Schizosaccharomyces pombe: one gene and its partner. The gene in region 1 interacts genetically with each later gene. Each region holds a gene or a part of one and is shown on either strand. Other genes may lie near its edges.

Region 1 (10,864 bases):
GTACAGCCAGTACACATGATATCCAAACACATGAATACCAATAACCAAGCTCCAAAAATCGGAAGTCAATAAAGAGATATTATAAAAAGTCGCAGAAGACATTCTAAAGAGAATAGGAGCCAAACTATAAAGCAAGAACATGACGAGAATAAAACCAGCTAAGTAACCACCCATTTCACTAGTCCAATGCAGGGTATACAAATGGTGACGGTCAAAAATAAAGGTTTGAATAATGCTGATAATAGAACCGTAGAGACTTAATTGACCGATGACTACGTAAAGCGGCAATTTGGAAGCAAAGTATTCCTCCAAAGTATTGGACACACCATAACACGTAGCGCCGATAATCATGTAACCATCACCCAAACCAGGGTTGACAGCAGAATAATCACCACGAGAAATCACATCACTAACGACCAGCAAAACCAAACCACCAATGCAAGCCACGACACCAAGAATTTGAGACCAGTGATAGCGAACCTTTAAAAAGATAAAGGAAAGAATTACAACTGCCACAGTAGCCCAAGAATCGAGTAAACTTGCACTAAGCATGTTTGTGTATTGGTAGGCTAGTACAACGAAATAATTTCCTTCAACGTCAAAAAAGGCAAAGATGATATATTTCCAACCGTGACGAAATATCATTTCAAAATACTTTTTAAATCCCATACGAAAAACAGTGTATGGTGTGTACACAAGAGTTAGCAAAGCGTAAACCAAGAATGTTTGAAAGGCAGGAATATTACTGATGCCAGACATGTATCCATTGAATGTGTTGGTCGCAGTAATGCACAGAGAGAGAACCTGACCAAGGAAAAACACAATCCAAAATCTTTTATCTAGTAGAAAATAAAGGGGTTTTGCCTTTGGAGTTGACTCCACCTCTTCCTCGGCGGCTGGTACTTGAGAAGCAGGAAGGCCAATATCATGTTCAAACGGTGGTGGCTCAATGGGATGAGAATCAATATTTACGTCTAGTTTTTTGTCGATAGAGGGTCTCTCACTCTTGATTTCTGAACCATTAGAGCTTTGCCCCTGAATGAATGCGCTACCATACTCAGAATCGGCGGCAGCAATTGAGGAATTATGAGTGTAATGACTTTTATCGAAGTCAGAAGTACTGCTTTCCTGGTATGACTCTACAATACCTAGCGGGTCTTGTGAAGTTTGAATTTCTTCATTCAAACTACTGGAGTTATCGTGCTGGCCCTCGTGACTTTGCACTGGCACGTGTATCGAACCGTCAACCATTCCTATCTACAGATCACTTTTCAGTAAAGTCACTGTTTATGGAATGTTGTTTCAAGAAAGAAAAAATTGAAAAAACAATAAAAAAGTGAGAAGGAGAGTTCAACATCGCATGGAAAACCTCTTTCAGTGCTGTAACCTGGCGTGACTGCCCAAGTAACAATGTGAGATATAACCATGAGTAAAGTTAAACGAATGTATAACATGCAAAAATTAACAAAGCTGAAGCGAAAGCGAAGGCTTTTAGAGCTAAATGCTTGTACATTCATCGTTTCCAAATGCAGTAGTAAATTAATAGTAAAAGCTCGACTTTTGAAATTAATACCTGAGTTGGCTTGCTATTCTTTGTAGGGGGGCCGATTTTACCCAACATGTGCTAATTTTAGTGAAGAGAGAAATCTTCCAGCTTCTAGATGAAATGAAATAAAAAAGCGAGTAAGAGAGAAGAAATGTGTTGCTTTTTTTTATTACAGCACTAAGAGAAATTCAATGAAGATGGGATGAATGTTATGGACTAGTATTAAATATAAGAATCTCGACGCTAAAAAAATACTGTTTGTTAGAATACGTAAAAAGACTTTGTATAAATAACTTAGGGAAAACTAGCTTGATTTATGTAGTATTCTATCCCTCTTGTAGAAGTGTGTAAGACATAAATATTTAAATTAATGGGAATCGATATTTTGGGGTTCATCCCAAATGAGCCGGTAACGTAGAAAACGAATCAAGATACTAAACTTGTAAACACATGTATAAACAATTAAAACAGCTAAGCATGTATCACGAGTATTAACGATTTGGTAAATGTTAAGACAGTTTATTATGTCCGGTCCTCCTGTTTGCTGCTACGAATATTCAAGAATAAAGAAGCAAATGTCAATATGATAAGTGAATGTTTCTCTAGAAAAGATAGAAAATAACTAAGCCACTTGTTATCAGACATACAGTACGTGAACATAATCAAGCGTATGACTGAACTATGATTTTGGTACCTCCCTTCCACAGCATAAGCTTCTCCAAGATTGTTTAACTTTTTAGAAATTAGCTCCGATTCAGTTGGTTAAATCTAGGCTCTTTAGTTTGTCTTTTAAGCAACTCATATACAGCTTATAATATCAATTTATTATAGACATATCAATAACACTTATTGCTCAAGTATTTACAAGCCATCAAAATTAACGCATCCTTAAATCTGTAACAAACTGCGTAACTGCAAGCTAACATACTGTAATTTAACGATCAAGCTCTTATGTAGACTTTACGTCGTTCCGAACTCATTAAGCTTGCTAGGGGTTTTAACGAAATTGCGTTATGTCATTCTGTGTAATAAAATTGTCACCACCATTCCTGAGATCACTCATCTATCATAGCAGTCAAAAGCATGCAGATGATCCATTGGGATATTAGAAATTGCCAAGCCTTCCAGTTCATTTCCATACGAGGCAAATGAGGAGAAACGAGACTTTTCTTCTCTAATATTGATCTATTCAAGAGCAATTTAGTCACAAGTTCTGATCATCTGTTCGTACTTGAATATGTAAACATTACAATAAACGGAACCAAAAGTCAAAGCATGCAAAGCGAAGTGAATTTAAACAGTTCATTCCTTATTAAAAGAACTGCTTGTCCATATTTTTTGACAAGAATATGCTTCTTTTAAGATAGACAGCAAATAGGCGGTTTTAAGGTTGATGCAAACATAAATCATGTTACAGCAACTACTTTTAAGGCGTAAAGTTTACCTTCATAGTTGACAGTAAATTATTTTTATCTTTCTATTTTTGAAAGCAAATTCGTAAGGAGAATAATAATAGTATTATAAACACCACTTGATCGCAGTGCTGCGTCTAGAGTGTTGATTAAAATATGACTCAATTGCTTCGACACCTCCATAGGACTACTTTTACTCAATAATCTGTAATCATCGAGTATATTTAAAGTAAGAGAATAGCCTCCATCCCCGCTTTCCAAAAACGTATACATATAAAGTGCATCGCATACGCTTGAAATTAACTTTTGATTCAGAAATCTTCTCGTGTCTAATCCTTTGTCCTAAAAAGCCTAATTTCGTGTATCTTATACTGCGAAGCAATACAGAAGATATTTTCTGGAAATAATTGACTCTTTTCCCTTCCAATCCATATACGAGGAATTTTTGACATTAAATTCCACTTTTAGAACCATTCTATTCTTTCTCTTTCCTTGCTACCACCATCCATTTCTAGTCATTCAGTTCAGGTTTTTTAGTAAACCTTCTTGTTAATTGGTTATAACATCGCTCTTTCATTGCTTAAAAGAGTAACTTTTTAAATCACCGTACCTTCCTTGCAAAGTTAACCTGTATACATCCTTCTGTGAACCCGCAACAGACCATTTTATTTTTTTAAATAAAGCATAGTCTCAAGTTCCCTAACATTTGATTAAATACCGATTGCCGATTAAAGCATTCCGACATTTTTGTTTTCATCAGATTATTCAAGTAACGAGTTAAGTATTTTTTACCTCGTTCACACATTGACTGCCTTTTTCTTTTTTGCATTACTTTTTTGACAATCTCGATAATCTTTTATTAATCCAGCCTTCATTTTCAATTCCTTTTTTTTTTTGAAATTCAAATTCTCGTTGACTCCTCACATCGACGACATAAGCAAATTCCGTTCTCTCACTAGGCCTATTGACCGATTTGAGCATTTTAAACAAGCATTGTTTGTCTATCTCTTTTTTGACTTCTGCATACCTCAGTCTTGTTACCTTGAACGTTATATTTTCTCTGTTTTTTTATCGAGGTAAACAAACAAAAAAAAACATATTTTATAGTATCCAATCAAAAAAAACCACTTTTTTTAATTTTTCATCTACAAACAATAAATAACTTTCAAACGAAAGAATTTACTGTTTAATATTCTGTTGATTCCTTAACTTCTTGGAGGATCTATTTATAAAACTGCTGCCTGCGACGATTCAAATCGAGGTGTTCCCAATCAATTTGTAAAACAGGTGTTTTCTTTAATACTTTTGGTTCTATTTTGCATTTTCTGTTTCTAGTACCGCCACGTTCATTTATTAATTATCCCTAATTGAATAATGAGTCAACTTTATGCTTTAAACGGACAACCTCTAGCAGGGAAATCTGATGACCTGGCAAATAAACTTGCCGCCTTCGGATTGTCTCAACCTAACCATAGTTCTCTTTCAGAACAACAATCGACCAACTCTTTGCTTCATGGTTCAGGAGCATTTAATAAACCCCCACTGTCCAGGAATTCAACGACAAATCCGCTTAATTTATTATATACACAAACACAGCAACCTGCAAGGTCGACAACTCCTTTTCTGCTTAACCCAGTAGGATCAAGTCCTGGTAAATTGCCCGTGCCTTCAAGGAACAACTCTTACTTACAGGGCACTGCGGAGTCAAACTCCGGTAATTTTGCAAATAATTCAATTAGCAATAATTGCTGGAATTCCGCATACAATTCTAACAGTTTCGAAGGCACAGGCAGCTCTCCAAATTTTCCACCCCAAAATCAATTTCTTTCAGATAGTCGATCTTCAATTGCAACGCTAAATGCCATCCCTTCGTTGGATCAAAGTGTTCTATTGAATCCAAATCTTCGGGCTAGAACACCTAGCTTGGTACCGGAACATTACTTTGATGATACCGACAAATCAGTACATTCTAAAAGTAGTTCTGGATCTAACTCCCTTAGTGAAGCTTCAAATGATGATTTAGAATCTTCTATCATTCAAATTGTTGGTGGCTTGCCGGACGATTTTGATGATAGAGAGCTGAGTGGAATTTTCACATTCTGCGAAGGATATGATTTTTCAAAAATCGAAAGTGAAAATGGGCACCGAAAAGCTATTGTATACTTTCGGAACGCAATAGCTGCATTAAAGGCAAAAAACATGTTAAACGCGTCTTCTACAAACAATTTCACCATTATTCAAAGGGATGTTGTAAGGCAACAAGAAAATGAATATCACAAGGGCATTCCACCATTGACTACCCCAAGTTTATATTCCCAACGCCTGTCAAATAACTATGACTCAACAACGCCTGGGTTTCCTCGGTTTTCACCAGCAAATTTTGATTCTGTCATCAATAAGGACGTTACTTCAGAATCACGAATGTCCACCTCGTATCCAGCGGTATTGGAAGCTTTTAAATCGTTCAACCCAATAAAGGCTCCTAAAGCTGAATATCTTAATCAATCACGAGCATCAATGGGAAACCCTTCACCTTCAAACTGGAATAATAGGCTATTACAGCCATCTTCTAAAGAGCAAGCCGTATATTCTTTCCAAACGCAGAAAAATAGCAAAGGGCTTCAATTTACAAGCAATGAATTAACAAACCCCACAGCCAAATATTCACAGTTGCCAAACAATATTGCTAATATTGGTGAATCTAATTCTTTATCAAATCAGCCGAATAACTTTGCACAAACGTCGTTCGATTACCAACCTAATCATCCAAATGCAATTTCGCCCAAAGCAAAGTTTTCTTTACCTTCAAGACCAAGTTATCATAAAGACAACTCTTTTATTTCAAAACAAGCTATCGATAAATCAAATCCTTTTGAAGAGGCATTGCGATTAGAACGTACGAGCCCTGTTAAAGAGCTACCTGCTATAAGACCACGTACAATTCCACTGAATGGTGTTGCCCCATATGAAAGTGAACTTAGGCCGCCGCCCAAGTGGAAGCCTATGCCAGACCTTAAAGTAGTCCGTTCACGCCCGTCATTAAAACAACGCCCTTTAAGGAGCGCCGAATATGTCCGTGTTTGTGAATTAAAATGCCTTCAGGAAGAAGAATTTGATAATAAAGTGCTATTGGAACAAGTAGAGTCCAATGTGCAAACTGATCATAACTCACCCTGTAACACAATTTATGTGGGAAATTTGTCCAACCCAGACCAAGAGAAAAAGCTTAGGTTGGCTTTTTCAAAAGAGAAGGGGTATCGGAGACTATGTTTCAAAATTAAGGGAAACAGTCCTATGTGTTTTGTAGAATTTGAGGAAGTTTGCCATGCTGCGAAAGCAATGGAAAAAATGCAAGGTGCTGCATTAGACGATAAAATTAAAGGTGGCATTCGCTTAAGCTATTCCAAAAATCCACTTGGTGTCCGCTCCACCGAAAACCTTTCAACCACAGCATCCCTTTTTCAACAACACGGCCCTCCGAAGAAAAGCACGGACTGCTACTCAGCAAAGGCATCCGCTGCTGTTGAACGAAAATACCATTTTCAAAATATGACTCCAAAACCAAATGGAACCAACAGTGTCACCACACTAAACAGGACCCAAACTCACTCGTCGGAAGTGAACGATTTGTTTGATATTTTTGAGTTTCCTAGCAAATAGAAACGGTGAGTTTTTCTTCAATAGTCAACACTATTGAAAAGAGCACGCTAAGGCTATGTAAAGAAAATGACTCTATTTCTATACAAAGTCAAAACGTTTGATTTTTAGTTTTAACATTCAGAATCAGTTGCATGACAGAATTATTTTATCCTTTGTGAAAAATTCCACAATTATTGAGAAAAAAAATAAAAAAATAATAATAACTAGCATAATTAATAAAAAATTTGGTTGAATTTGGTAAGCAATTATTGAAATTCAAAGTAACATGCTGTCAGCCTTCACTAAGCTAGATTGGAAAAAACTTGATCTCACACTTTGGTTGCAAAATGTAGAATAAAATTTATAACGCAATAAAATTTAACGACGTCTTCCATTTAAAGTCGAATTAACGATTTATGTTTGTTAGTTCGTCATGGTTTAAAAGTTCGGAAAGAGTTTTGAATGACAAATGCTTCCGTTTTTTAGAAACACCGAGGGTCATTATTTTGTTTGATAAGATTTGTGTAGAAGTAGTGTAAATACCATAATATGAGCAAATCAAATGCATCCAATATCGAGCGAAGGCTGTTGCTTTCGGATTGCTAGGACAATCAATTAACATATAAATTCGATAGCTTCTCTGCGTTTCCAAAAAAGAAGACGTATCAATTTCTGCTTTAATATTAAAGCTTTCCGAAGCATATATCGCTGGTGAATGGTCGTGGTCATAAGCATAAAGCTTTTCGTTCATAATATTATTCAAGCACTCGTCCAACAACAACACTAGTTGCAGAGAGTTGTAACATTTGATTTCATGTCTAATCCTTTTAACAATGGATTTATGGTGATTGTCGTTAAACCTCTGGTTCGATGATGATGTTAGCAATGAAGATATATTATTTACTCCATCCTTGTAAAACTCATCTCCAACGGTTAAAAAACCAAAAGCTGGTCTGTGGGTAAATAAATCCTTATAAACGACCTCATCAGGATCATCCGCTGCTTGCTTTAATATATGCAAGTCTGAGAGTCGATATTAGTAAATAGTTTCAAAAATGCGAACAGCGACCCAAAACATACCATTAAGGAAACGATTCTTTTTCCTCGAACCGATGTTTCTCTTGGAATCAAGGTTCCTTCTTTTCCATGAATTGTCATTGTCAATACTTTTAACAAAATCTAAAACACGCGCATCGGATCCACAGTTACGAGCAGAAATGGATTGGAACGACTGTAGGTTTATCCTTCTGGTTGAGAGAGTTAGTGGAACATGCTTTGAGTCGGCACTAGAATAAGCATCCGCGCAATGCAATGTATTTGAAATGAGAACCATCGTGGCACACGACAGCAACCAAATGCCGATTTCTCTTTAGATAATAGAAAGGAACTTGCGGAATCGTTACACTTCAATAAACTAATTTCTCGAGCCCTAACGAATCACTTGTGATGAATAGTGAGGCACGGTTCAACTCATTAAATGATCACTGTACATGAAAAAGGCTGAATGAAAACATGAGTTTTTAGGATGTTAGTATAGCTTAGATGAAAACGAATAGAGGTTTATACACTCTATCTTGACTTACAAAAGCCAATTTATAAAAATTTCTAATTTTTATTCAAAATATATATACATAGATATATAGTTCTATGGGAAATAAATAGAAAGCAAAGTATAAGCATTTTGCCATTGATTTGAGAGGCAACAAAAATAGTCTCAACATTGCAAGAATAGGAAGGGACAATTTAAAGACCGTTTAGCGTTTTTAACGCGTAATTGGGGATAATCCATAAAATAGACATAAAAGAGCTACTCCAAAAGTTTTTACACTCCAAGTTCGATATCGCAAAGAGCATCCACTTTTTTAATACTATCCTGGACGTGATCGTAACCACCGATGAGATCCAAAAGACCATGTTTTTCAAAAATATGAAGAACTTGCGGGTCTAAAGATACCAAATGAACCTCAACTTGGTGCTCGACATACTCTTTAAGGATACGCTGAAAGGCAAAAAGAGCACTTGAATCTATGGAAGAGACACCTACCATGTCAAAAACAACGACTTCAATGTCTTCAATACGACGATAAGGAGTTTCTCCAGGATGCATTCTTGGATGTCCGTACTTTTCTAAACGATTTAGTCGATCTTCAAGCTGACTGACGTTTGCAAAAAAAAGCGGTTCAGGAATGCGAACGACTAAGATGCGGGGGGCACTCTCGACAGCAGTCGAAGAAGGATTAGTTCGATGGGATAAAGTGGAAGCTGCATCTTCAAGGATAAATTCTGCTGTACCGTTTGAAGTAGGAGATCTAAACATGATGCGAGAACGGGTGGAGTGTCTTATAATTTGCATCACTGTTATGGACAATCCAAAGATAATTCCAGTTTCCAATCCAAACATCATAGTGCATGTTGCGATAGAAAATATAATTCCCAATTCCCACCACACTCTTATGCGGGCTAACTTGAAAATTTCCACGGCAGCGTCGGCGAACAATGATACACCCAAGGAAACCACCATGGAAGCAAGCATGCAAGTAGGTACAGTGGAGAACACAGGCATGATAAAGAATGTTGCTAACAAAATAAGTACACTACAAGCAATAGTAGCTACCTGTGTTCGAGCACCAGACATTATGTTACATTTAGTACGTAGGTACCCACCGCAAATAGGAAGCCCACAAAATAAACTGCTTCCTATATTCGCAGCCCCTAAAGATATCAGCTCACGATTGGAGCGTATTAGATTATTTGTCTGCAACGAAATAGCTTTCACTGCAATAACCGTATCTATGAAAGCAAGGAATGAACACATTACTCCAGTTTGTAAACTTTGGGTAATAAAGTGAAGCTTATTTTTTTCAGGTAGGGGAAGCTTAGGAAGTAGTATTGTGGTTTTAATTTCTCCTAAAATGGCAATACCGTAATTGGAATGCCAGTCAAACTTTTTGCTCAAAAAAGAACCTAACAATAGTATGATAACTGCGTCAGGAATCGAGACAATTCGAGGGTATTTAGCGGAAAGCTTGGATTTAAGATTTCGACAACCTATGAGCAACGATATTGTAATACATGAAAGTATAGTGGTATATATGTTAGCTTTCGACATGTTCCTTATTAAAAACATAAGTTTATCAATAGGAAAGTCCGAACCTTTATATTTGACTCCAGAAAATCCAAAAAATACAGATCCTTGATTGATCATAATAATCATAGATATTGACAATATGCATCCACGTAACAATACTGGGGATACAAGTGCATCCAAAAATCCCAAGCGGAACAGCCCGGCAGCTAAATTGATAATTCCTGCGATAAAGGCAATCAATCCAGTTACTAAAATTGCTGTTTCTTGAGGAACATCGGCTTTCGACAAAACGCGTTGGTGAATGTTTTCAGCAATAAGCAGACACATACCAGCCTCGGGTCCGATGGATATCAGCGGGCAAGCTGTAAAAAGACAATATAATATGGGGCCAATTGCAGTACCTGTTAAAATGTATATTGGGGGGACACCTAGAAACGTTTGTGCAAATGATAATGCAATAGGCACAGAGAGACAAGCAGTCGAGCAGCCAGCTAACACATCCCAAATGATATTTCTTAAGGAATAGTTGGGAAGCCAATGAAGGACAGGGATATAATAATTGATTCTTCGAACCAAACTGGGTTTTTGTTGAGGAATGTTAGCACGCTTCCATGTGGAAGAACGTCTAGCTAAAGATTGATAAGAAGGAATCTCGTGTAAGGGTCTACTGGTGCTAGTTCTGTTATCGATAAAGCTAGTTTTAGGGCCCAAAAGATGGTTTTCTGAAGGAGACGACATTGCTACAAACAGAAACCGTTTGAGGTGCAAAAGTAATATGTTACGATTAAAAGCTTAGTAATTTCAAAAATCTACAATACTAACGTTAAATAAAAACCGGATAAATGCTCAACGTGCAACGAAACCAAATTGAAAATTAAAGAAAAGCGATCAATTTCGTCGAGTCCCACAAATGGGAAATAGTAAGAAAAAGTTGGAGTTTAGAAATAAGTCATAAGATTTAACTTGCACTTAGTGAATTGACTGTATTATCAAATTGGTAGGTCAGGTCCGGTCCTATAAGCCATAAGATATAGGTCCTAAAATCGGAGGTATCTCCGACTCTAATATATGTAAGATTCTGACGCAGATAAGTGGCCGTCATCGTAACTCGCTTAAGTAAGACTTAATTAACTCATACGTTACTTTTAGAAATAGACTATCGCTTATAGTCGAATGATA
Region 2 (10,722 bases), 1.4 Mb from region 1:
CTCGCTCTCGCCCTGCCGCTCGTTGTCATCCTATTTGTCTCTCTTCACTTACCAACATGGGCTGCAAAACTTGCACTGCTTAATCTGACAACCAACATCGTCCATACTGGTTTCGCAACCAACAAACCGACAAACTGGATACTCTCTACTAGGGTAGAAACTTGGCTGTGAGGAGGTACTGTAAGAAGGTACTGCGAATTCGGTTGCTCAAAACTGAATTCAACAATACTCCAGTTTATTTTTTGGATAACTCATTCGATCATGCAAACTTGAGCTATCGCTTGCTAAATTTTCATACTGCCTATTCTATAATGGTTCGCATGCTCCGCCGGCCTCCCAATGCAAATTCAACCAACACTATGTATTTTCAAATCTTTCCATCCATCTGTCCCATTCTCCCCTTCAAGAAAATAGATTAAGCCCATTTATCGAGCTCATTATCAAATATAACGTAATGCAGGCTACTTTACAGTAAAACATTAATTGGTTCCTCTCTACCATTTTTTCCTTATACTCTTCGAACACAGTACGATATACAATACACAATACCATACAATATACAATAATACCATACACGGTTTATGATCATGTGTCGTGTTTCATCAAGCCATTAGGCATCAAAATCAACAGTCATTAATATCGCCATTGTTACTGCCATAGCAGAAAGCAAAGCTTTGTTTAACGAATTTGCATAAACTGGCCCATCCGTCCCACATCTTTGCAAATGCTTCCTTTAGCACAGTTTTTATTTCATTTCTCTTGTTTATACACTCTACACACGCTTCCTTCTCTTACTGTAAGAAAAGTGGATTCGGCTTGATTGCGCACATGCAAACAATTTCCAATATTCGCGGGGTCCTTCTATCTCTCTCGCTTAATATAAGGTTTTTATCTAGCGATATTCACGCAGGATTGCGTTAAATGCATGGCAAAAGTTCATGCCAAGTAAACAATACACCATTCCAAAATCGCAACTTCTTTAGGACGAACATTTTGATTCAACTCTTCTCTCGTTTACATTTCAACTTTTTTCGTCGACTTTACTAAATTAAACATTTTTTTATTTTTACATCTCTTTTCATGTTCTCTTTATAACTAAACTACTCCTCTCTTCATTTTCCCTTTACAACTACTTTTTTCCGGATTCTGCTTGCATATCATTCATTAAAGAGTTCTATCCATACACACCTTCCCTCCTTTCTTGACTTTCTATTCATTATCCAATGGACGATTAAATCCACCGGGTCGGTTCATATACTGTCTATACTTGGTTTTCTTTTGCTTGTACACCTGGCCCACGTCTCCATGCTTCTTCCCCGTCGTTGTGTCAAATCCCGAAAATCCCATAATACGTTTCATCTCTGCCGTCGCTTCATCCTCTTGTTCCACAATTTCTTCCTCAGCGCTCTTTGTCCTCGTCATCGCATCGTGGCTTTTTCCTACTTCCAAAGACCCATCCTTATCCTCCTTTACTCCATCCATCTTGTCGCCTTGATCAACAGGCCTTTCTTCCTCTTCTTTTGGAGATGGTGCTTGCAATTTTTCATGCTCTCTTTTCCTTTCCAACCCCTCCCCTTCAGGAGAAAAGGGTGAGACACCGTCTCTTCGTTCCTTCCGATCCCGTCGACCTTCATAGTCTCGCTCTCGAAATCTTTCTCGGCCATGCTTCAGCTCCGGTTGCCAGTTTCGTTCATGCTCTACTGGACGCCTAGGGCTTTCCTCTCGCACAGACTCTCGATGCCTTTCGTAACGATCGCGTCTTCTAGCTGGACTGTAATCTCTACGTTGTGAATCCTCGTAACGTCTACTACTTCTCTCGTCTCTATAATTTCGACGATATTCACGATAATCCCTGTCTCGTTGATCACCGCGTGAGCGACTGGATTCGTAATTTCGGCCTTGCGCATAATTTCGACGGTGTTCACCGCTTCTTGACGAAGACATTGCTACTATACCAAAAAGGAATCCCCGATTATCTTCTCCAAAACTTTTCAACTATCCCAAACTTCACAGTAGATTGAACAAATAAACAATTTCCCTTAGAAGCTAAATCTTCTAAAATTATACAATTAAATGTTTTTTTATTTGATCCTGCTGCTAGACGCTTTTTTAAATTTTTTTTGTGGGTTTACAACTGTGATACATTCAAACTTCTCACTCGTTATAAAGGTAGTGAGGATCAGTAGGTCAGGTAACATGAAGCTTGCTTCTTTACTTGTTACTTGATATTGTAAATAAATCAACAAAGAATTGCAGCATAATTAATATACACTTAGATTTAGATTAGTAGTTAGAAACCATTTACTGATACATCTAAACCAATCTTTAATTTTTGTACATCTCTTTGGCCCCTCTGTTCCAAAGGACAAATCAGTGCTAACACTAAGCTATTCAATGTATAGATTCTCCAGCCCGTTTGCAATGGCTTCCTTAGTTAGAAAGGTTTCACTCAAAGGATAAATATTCCTTAGCCCGTTGCTTGGTGTCATGCTGCTTTTCAGAGCAAACTTGGTTGCATGCTGAAGAGCAAATAGAGGATGGTCTTCACCTTTTTCATCGACATCTTTTTCAAGTGCCTTCAACCAATCCTCCAATGTAACAAAGTCTAGCTTAACGTTTTTCATAGATTCACAAATACAAGCAAACTCATCACCGTCAAACTTATCATAAGCCAAAAGTGGAGCATACGCATCAGCTTCTTTCTCCAATATTTGAGTCAGCGTCATGCACAATGCATCAGTTGTTGAAATGTGGAATACCAAAGATTGTGATTCATCGCTTTGTGGCCAAATACCCATTCGTAAAGCTGTCGCGACGAAACGCCAAAAGAAATCTCTCGATAAAATTTCCCCATCGTTTGCTATAATAAATCCTGGACGAATAACATATATTAAGGGATGTCCTAAATCGCTAATCTTTCGACACAAGAGCTCAGCAACGTATTTGGATAGTGCATATCCAGATGCTTTAGCAGATTGAGTATCATCGTCAAGCTCTACTTCCTGTTGTCCACCTCCAGAGATAAAGTAAAGAGCCTTGGGTCCCATCACACTCAGTTCCAAAACAGTCTTAGTCCCCAAAACATTTGCTGGTCTAAGTTCTTGATACGACTTCATCCAGTGAACTTCCGCAGCCATGTGATAGATTCGGGAAACATTTTCCACCAGAAACTCCCATTTTGCATCATCCAACCCAAATCTAATCTCCTCTACATGAGCCGCCCATACAATTATATTTTCACTCGAAATTCGAAGACTAGGAACAAGTGATATTAACCTTTCTTTAGCAGCTTCATCAGAGGACTCTCGAACTAGACATACAACACTTATATTCAACTTTACTAGATATTCCAAAAAACGACGACCAAAATAACCCGTTGCTCCAGTTAACAAGAAATATTGACCATTGGTAGGCAGAATACTTAACTTGGGAATGGTACGTGATAAAGCGCATGCATCTTCATTTAAAAGTTCATAGGTGATTGACGATACGTTGTAACTTTTCTTTTGAATTATAGAGGCTATCGAGTTAGGGGTACAATTTGAATTCATATTGTAGCGAATTGGGCCTTCAAGATGAAAGTGGGATTGAATAGCATGAAAAAATCTCACAGAATGAATGGAATCTAAACCGCAGGAATAAAGAGGTGCGTCCTTTCCTTCCAAGCTTGGGTTTTGGAGAATTTTTGAAGCAATTTTACTGATTTCAATAGCCACAGGGTTTAATAAAACAGGTAAGCGCTGATCTTCTACGGAAAGGCATTTAGATGCGTAAGTTTCGATAGACTTCAAATCCACTTTTCCTGCAGCGTTACGCGGTATATCAGCAAGCGGAAAGCAACTTGAGAAAAGGTGGTGATCTCGGAGCTCTTTGTTCAATTTTTGCTTTAGTGTTACAGGATCCACACCATTATATGCAGGAACATACACCAATACAAAGCGATTGAATATGAAGAAAGAAAAAGCGTCTTTTACCTCCTTCAATCCTACAACAACTTGGTCAAAATATTTCAAATCAAAGAATACACCATTTCTTTTGACACGTCTTCCTAACCGGCCTTTAATGGTGATTCCCAATTTTCCTTTATAAGAATTCCAAACCGCCAAGTCAGCAAATCGCACTGCTGGTTGACCATCATAATTTATAAACGTAGAATTACGGGATTGAATAGTTTCAGCATCATCGCCTACATAAGGCTCCGATTGTACATCGGTCACAACACAAACAAAGCCCTCGCAACCAATTTTTTCAGGAACAGCTTCGTTATCCTCAGTGACTAACATTAGTTTTTTAACGGTTTTACCAGGGAAATAGACAAGCTCTTTGTTATGCAGTGTGTCTTTCCCATTGTAAGCCAAAAATGAAACCAATCCCGACTCAGTAGTACCATACTGTGGATAAATGGTCGCATTTGGTAATACTCGTTTGCATGTATGATACATGTTTGCAGGGACCATTTCACCGCCTGCTGCTACTAGTTTACAAGCAGGAAAGCATTCTTCCTTGTCAGGCATTATTTGGAGAGTTAGAACAAGGAGATTGGGTAAAATAATTAAACGTTCGCATCCAGCACGAAGAGCATAGTAAACATTCCAAGCAAGCCGTTCAGCCTCTGAAGTGCAAGTAGCCGATATCGAAGAGGATGGGTACAGTAAGTTCCCATTACAATACAAGGCATTAATCCAACTCAAGGTTGTTAAAGCAAAGCTGGTAGCCATTACCATTGGAGTGGAGAGATGATTCATAAATTCAGGAGTTCCATAGTCATAACCCAAAGCATATTTCTTCATGAGAAATGGCATGGATTTAGGGACTCCTGTGGACCCACTAGAATGGTTAATAAGAGCGACTTCCGGCTCTAATCCAGCTCGAATACAAGGAGCATCGATATCCAGCGGCAGCGAAGCCAAGGATGTAGCATTTAAGGTGTCCACCTCAAACTTGGGCTTATATTCATGATAAAGCAAATCAGAAATATTCAAACGTTTAACAAGTACACGAACAACTTGCTGGGACCAAATTTGGTTAAAAATAACGCAGGTTCGTCCAGTAGCCCATAAAGCAAATATAGAACACAGAAAATCCAACTCGTGTCCCATATGTATTCCAACTGTCTTTCCCAAGCCTAAATCATCACAAAATTTAGCAATTGTGTTAACACGACGAAGTAATTCTGTATATGTATATTTAGCAACAATTCCACGTTCATTGTACACGGAGATAAACCGATGATCTGGTGTTTCTTTTGCGTTTTTCAAAAGGCGAGCGATTGGTGTATCTTCTTCTTTAGATATGGATGAAAACGAAACTGATTCTGACGAATCGCACAGCATTTTTTTTTAAATATTTTCAATACCAGTATCAACTAAAGAAGCAACCTTGAAATGACAAACAGCAAATTTCGTAAAGTTAAAAAGTTAACACTTCTTGTTTCAAATCGGTCTTCTATGCTAACGATACATTAATCTCACTGCATGTAAAAAAACCAGGATCCGGCTATAGGAATCCGACTCCATTGCCCTCAATAAGAGTATACAGTATCCGGAAGAACATATTGTATTCTTACAACTTTAAGAGTTAACTAACTTAATTCACAAATTGTTCAGGACATTGAGACAGCGGTATGGTGGTGAGTTTTGAGACGTAGCGCAAGCACTACATTACTGAGCCTATCTATATCCCTTTATAGGATTCTTTTATACGATGAGCTACGGATAGTAGAAACGAAAAGTGTTTACAGACATCCGAACACCAACAACATCATCATACTTTCACTTCGAGAAATGAAGACTTAGGAAAAGCAATATCCAGCAAGTGGATTAGAGAGTTAAGTTAAGCAATTCATTGTTAAGAAGCTCAAAAGAATCAGGGTTTGTCTGTTACGCGACGATTGTGAACTACTCGAATACCATTTGAAAAGGCTTACTACAACAGTAATCGGGTAAAAACGGGCTTGGTTGAGAAAGCAAAAAAATTGTTTAATTGTACAATCGTGGTGTCTCAAAAGACGAAACACGATCATAAGAAACAATGAAATCTACGTTTTCTACTGTACTCATTACTGGGTCATCCAAAGGATTGGGCTATGCATTGGTGAAAGTTGGATTGGCCCAAGGTTATAATGTAATAGCTTGTTCTCGTGCTCCCGACACAATAACCATCGAGCATTCAAAATTATTAAAGCTCAAATTAGATGTTACAGATGTGAAGTCTGTTGAAACCGCTTTCAAAGATGCAAAGAGGCGATTTGGAAACGTAGACATAGTGATCAACAATGCAGGGTATGGCCTTGTTGGCGAATTTGAATCATACAACATTGAGGAAATGCATCGTCAAATGAATGTAAATTTTTGGGGAGTTGCATACATTACCAAAGAAGCGTTGAATCTCATGCGCGAATCCGGTAAAGGAGGGCGTATTTTACAAATTTCGTCAGTCGCAGGTTATTACCCATCTCCGTGTTTAAGCATGTATAATGCTAGCAAATTTGCTGTCGAAGGGCTTTCGCAAACAATTATGAGAGAGTTAGATCCGAATTGGAACATTGCGATAACTATTGTACAGCCAGGTGGCATGCAAACAGAATGGGCTTCCTCTAATATGCAATGGGCAAAACCTCATCCAGCCTACGAAAATGACAGGTCTTGGCGACCATTTTGGGAAAACTATCATGGCTGCGAGGAAACTGACCCGAACAAAGCTGCGGAGTTGTTATATAGCATTGCCAAACTCGACAGGCCGCCTCAAAAGCTTGTCCTAGGCCACGATTCCTTGGAATTAATCCGCAAGCAACATCAAGACATAGGGGAAGAGCTTGAAAGTAATGTTGCACTTAGTACAAGTGTTGCAAAGGATGATTTTGATCCAGCTTCGGTAGAAACTTTGCGTCAAAATCTTCAATCTATGTGATGAAGGCATACAAGAATTTTTTTTGATCTCGTTGAATAGAATTAAATGAAGAGTTGAATGTATATGAGGATCGCAAAACGATCATTTCCTTATTTACACATTCATATGAGAAAATGCAGTCAAACAATTTCTAAAACTACAATGCATTGGTTCAAATATTAATGAACTTGTCTGCATTTATTTTCTTTGCACAAATTTTTCACTTTCATACTTCGTAAAAAAAAATGTGTATTTCACTGATTAAGAAACGTTCCAAATTACCAATTAATGCTATTCATTTGAATATAACACCACTTCTGTTGCTTCTTCATAAATTCTGAATAACAAACATCAGTGTCTATACTGTTTAGTAAGGCTACGGACAAAAATTTGTGCCTCTAATGATCTAGCGTCAGAACATTAGAATTGTCACAAATTTTAAAAATTAAGATCAAAGTAAAGTACATGAATCTCCATTGTATTGTATTAGAATCCGTGTTTATAATTATGCTCCGTAACATAACATATACTAATCTTACCTACTTCTAGCTTCGTCTTTTCATTGTTTATCAAATAGTGAGCTGCGAAATAATGTGGATTGTGTCAGCAATACTACACTACGCTATAATACACTACGTTGCGTATCACTATATGTCACATGTATATATAGTACCATGTATGATACGATATTGAGATTGATCTTAATGATAATCTATCAAGATCTATATTATCTGAATAATATAAATAGAGCTACTGCTGAACCTCGTTCCTCAGTTCAGTTATGAGCTATATTAGTGATAGGTAACATTATAACCTAATTAATACAATACCTATACTCAGTTGCTACTCATATAACCTGTGTAATGTAATATAATAGGTCACAAGGAAAACTCACCGCAGTTCTACGTATCCTTAAATCAGATACCAAACTGCGTAGCTAACATGAAGGAATCTCAAGCTAACTTAATAAAAAGGCAGTGACAGAATAAATGTGTCAGAAGCAATCCACTGCCTCGTTCAGTTTTTTCGTTCTTCTTTTTTTATGCCATTGTTTGAAGGAATTAGTTGGAAATTTGTTTGAACAATTTTATTATTTTGTTAAAAAGTCTTTAAAGCGATTGGAATTGGACTACAGAGCGAATATTCTTGATTTCGCTGTTTCGTTTGTCGCAATCACAGCAATTGAACTATTTGTGTGTATATCATTCAATAATAGATTGTTTCTAAGAAATGAAGAATAAAGATTATCCCTTGAGGTCGTCTATGGATGAATTGAGTACAAAAAACGATAATGAAATTGATTTGGAAAAAGGTCCTCTCCCAGAATACAATTCAGAAGATGGGAGCACATTGCCTCCATATTCAGGTAAGTGTTGTGTTGTTGGTGGATAAGATAAAGAATTGAGTGTGTCAAGGATTATTTGCTGTGTCTGTTTGTTTTGATTTACAATGTTTTTGTTGTATTTGTTTGTTTACAACTTGACATATTACGAGCATAAATTCGTCTAACAGGGCACACACTTTCTTCCTTCTACATCATTTTAAAAAAAAAAAAAAACCAAATTTCAAAAGTTATTTATTTTATTAATGCTTTCAGAAATTTGGAAATATATTAAAACTGTATCTGAGGATTCAAGTACAGGACCTACAGAAATTGCAAATCCCAATGTCGAAAGAAGACAAGAATTCAAAGATTCACATCCAAATATATATTCCCTTCTGAGACTACTAATATCAGTTCTTGCAGTTATTGTTGTCTTTTTTACTGCATGGGTTTGTGTAAACCCGTTGGAGAAGTCGATATTCGGCAAGGTAGCTTTCTCCGTCACAATTGGTATAACATGTCCAATAGTGTTTATTGCTATTTTCTGTAAGCTATGCATGAAGTTGTTAATACGTCCATTCACTAACTCATTAGGCTTCTTTGAAACTTGGACCCAGGCAGTGGCACAATGTATAAAGGTGACTGTAATTTTCTTGGCACAATGTGTAAAGGTGACTGCAATTTCCTTGGCACAATGTGTAAAGGTGACTGCAGTTTTCTTGGCAAAATGTGTAAAGGTGACTGCAGTTTTCTTGGCAAAATGTGTAAAGGTAATTGCGGTCGGTTTGTATAACTCAAAAAAAGATTTGGTGGTTACAATCTGGCTCGCATGGGTAGTCATTTGTTTTATACTCTTTGGTTGCGTCAAGGATGGTAGACTAAACTTAAATAAGGCACTCATCTGTTCCACATGCAGTATTTCGGCTGCTTTATTTTTCATTTTATTGCTTGGTAAGTGAAATTATCTTGCTAAACGCTAACATACAGTTTGTATTCCAATTTGGACACTCAAGCATATGCTTTTTGGTTTGTTTCAAGTGCTGGGTGTACAAAGTTGTGTCGTTATTGTAACGAAAGGTTTGATGTATTTATTTGATAAACATATCGACGCGACAGGCTACGAAATTGAAGCCTCTTCACTCTTTGTTATAGGAAATTTTCTTTTCTTTTACGAAATGGGTTCGTTATATATTCCTGTAATTTACTCTAACCATACCAGAACGTCCAGGTGCTCTCAAAAGGATGCCCAAATTTATCGGGAATGGTATAGCTTCTTTCCTAGGTATGTGTATTCAACCAACTGTATGAATGATTTTTTACTTACCCGACTAGGAGGTTTAGGGAATGCATTTGGAGGGATAGGAAATGCATTTGGAGGGATAGGAAATGCAATTGGGCGGATAGGAAATGCGTTTAGAGGTGCCAACGATAATAATGACATTCCCTTGGGAGAAATGGATGTTGAAAGCGAAGTCTAATTGCTTTATTAATGTGGTTGTCGCTCCAGTTGGAAAACCTCTTTACCAAAATCACCAACGCAGAGAAGCTGCGGCGTTTTTTAAAAATAAGCACCAACATACTTTAATTATTCTCTTGCCTTATAAGTTTGTGAGATATAAGCTTAACTCATTCTTTCAATTACCAAAAATTGCCAACCAATGCATTCTACGATGTTGGATAATGTGCATTGAGGACTGAGTCTTTATTTATTATGTATGCGAGTCTAATTATTTGTCTTTTTTAATGGTACTCTACGCTACAAACAATAATGGTTTAACTTGTTTACGACAACTTTAAATTAACTAATGAAATTGGAAAACTCGTTGTTCCACCTTGTTAAATTCACAATTTCATTTTCGTTTATTGCATTCATTTCTCCTTCATCTTGATTCTTAATGAATCAAGCTTAATTATCATTTTTTCCTTTTGTTTAATGGTTTACTTTAATACAAACAAATTTCAATGTTTACGAAATAATGAATAGCATAATAAAATATTGTGATTCAGAACGATGGTTTGTTATCGTAATGATTATAATGACACATTGCAATAGTGAGTGTTTAGTACTACGGTATGTCAGCAATACTACATTACGCTATGATACACTACGTTGCGTATCACTATATGTCATATGTTGGAATACTAGCTAAGATCCGTTTATTGATAATCACGGGTAACTATCCGTCTATATACATAGACACCCGTTGATAACAACTTTTTAGGAAGATTATAAATAGAGCTACAACTGAATCTCGTTCCTCAATTCAGTTATGAGCTATATCGGTGACCGATACTAACAGACTTCTTATAACAATAAACATACATTGTTACTTAACACACCGCATACCGCTACATTGTAGATCGCAAGTAAAACTCATCGCAGTCCAATGTATCATTAAACAGATATCAAACTGCGTAGCTGACATGCTCGATTGACCAACGTATAAATTACAATACCGTAAAATTATATAACGAATTCGTCCTAGGATTTTAGTTATATAAGAATGATA

What was found.
Region 2: mutations in mde7 (region 1) and wtf13 together harm fitness more than expected from each alone (negative genetic interaction), as found in Schizosaccharomyces pombe (one large-scale study listed by BioGRID).

The regions. Positions count from the first base shown.
Region 1 is NC_003421.2:151,574-162,437, forward strand, and holds mde7 (RNA-binding protein Mde7), read left to right. Parts: upstream 1-4,332; coding exon 4,333-6,618; downstream 6,619-10,864. Other genes in the region: SPOM_SPCC320.08 (transporter), read right to left, coding at 1-1,251; SPOM_SPCC320.06 (uncharacterized protein), read right to left, coding at 7,004-7,620, 7,678-7,930; SPOM_SPCC320.05 (sulphate transporter), read right to left, coding at 8,420-10,423.
Region 2 is NC_003421.2:1,579,091-1,589,812, reverse strand, and holds wtf13 (wtf meiotic drive antidote Wtf13), read left to right. Parts: upstream 1-7,884; 5' UTR 7,885-8,118; coding exon 8,119-8,254; intron 8,255-8,475; coding exon of another isoform or gene 8,476-8,485; coding exon 8,486-8,758; intron 8,759-8,806; coding exon 8,807-9,163; exon of another isoform or gene 9,164-9,199; coding exon 9,200-9,391; intron 9,392-9,431; coding exon 9,432-9,494; intron 9,495-9,544; coding exon 9,545-9,690; 3' UTR 9,691-10,222; downstream 10,223-10,722. Other genes in the region: snp27 (U4/U5/U6 small nuclear ribonucleoprotein complex subunit), read right to left, coding at 1,210-1,944; SPOM_SPCC162.02C (AMP-binding dehydrogenase), read right to left, coding at 2,388-5,333; SPOM_SPCC162.03 (dehydrogenase), read left to right, coding at 6,031-6,909.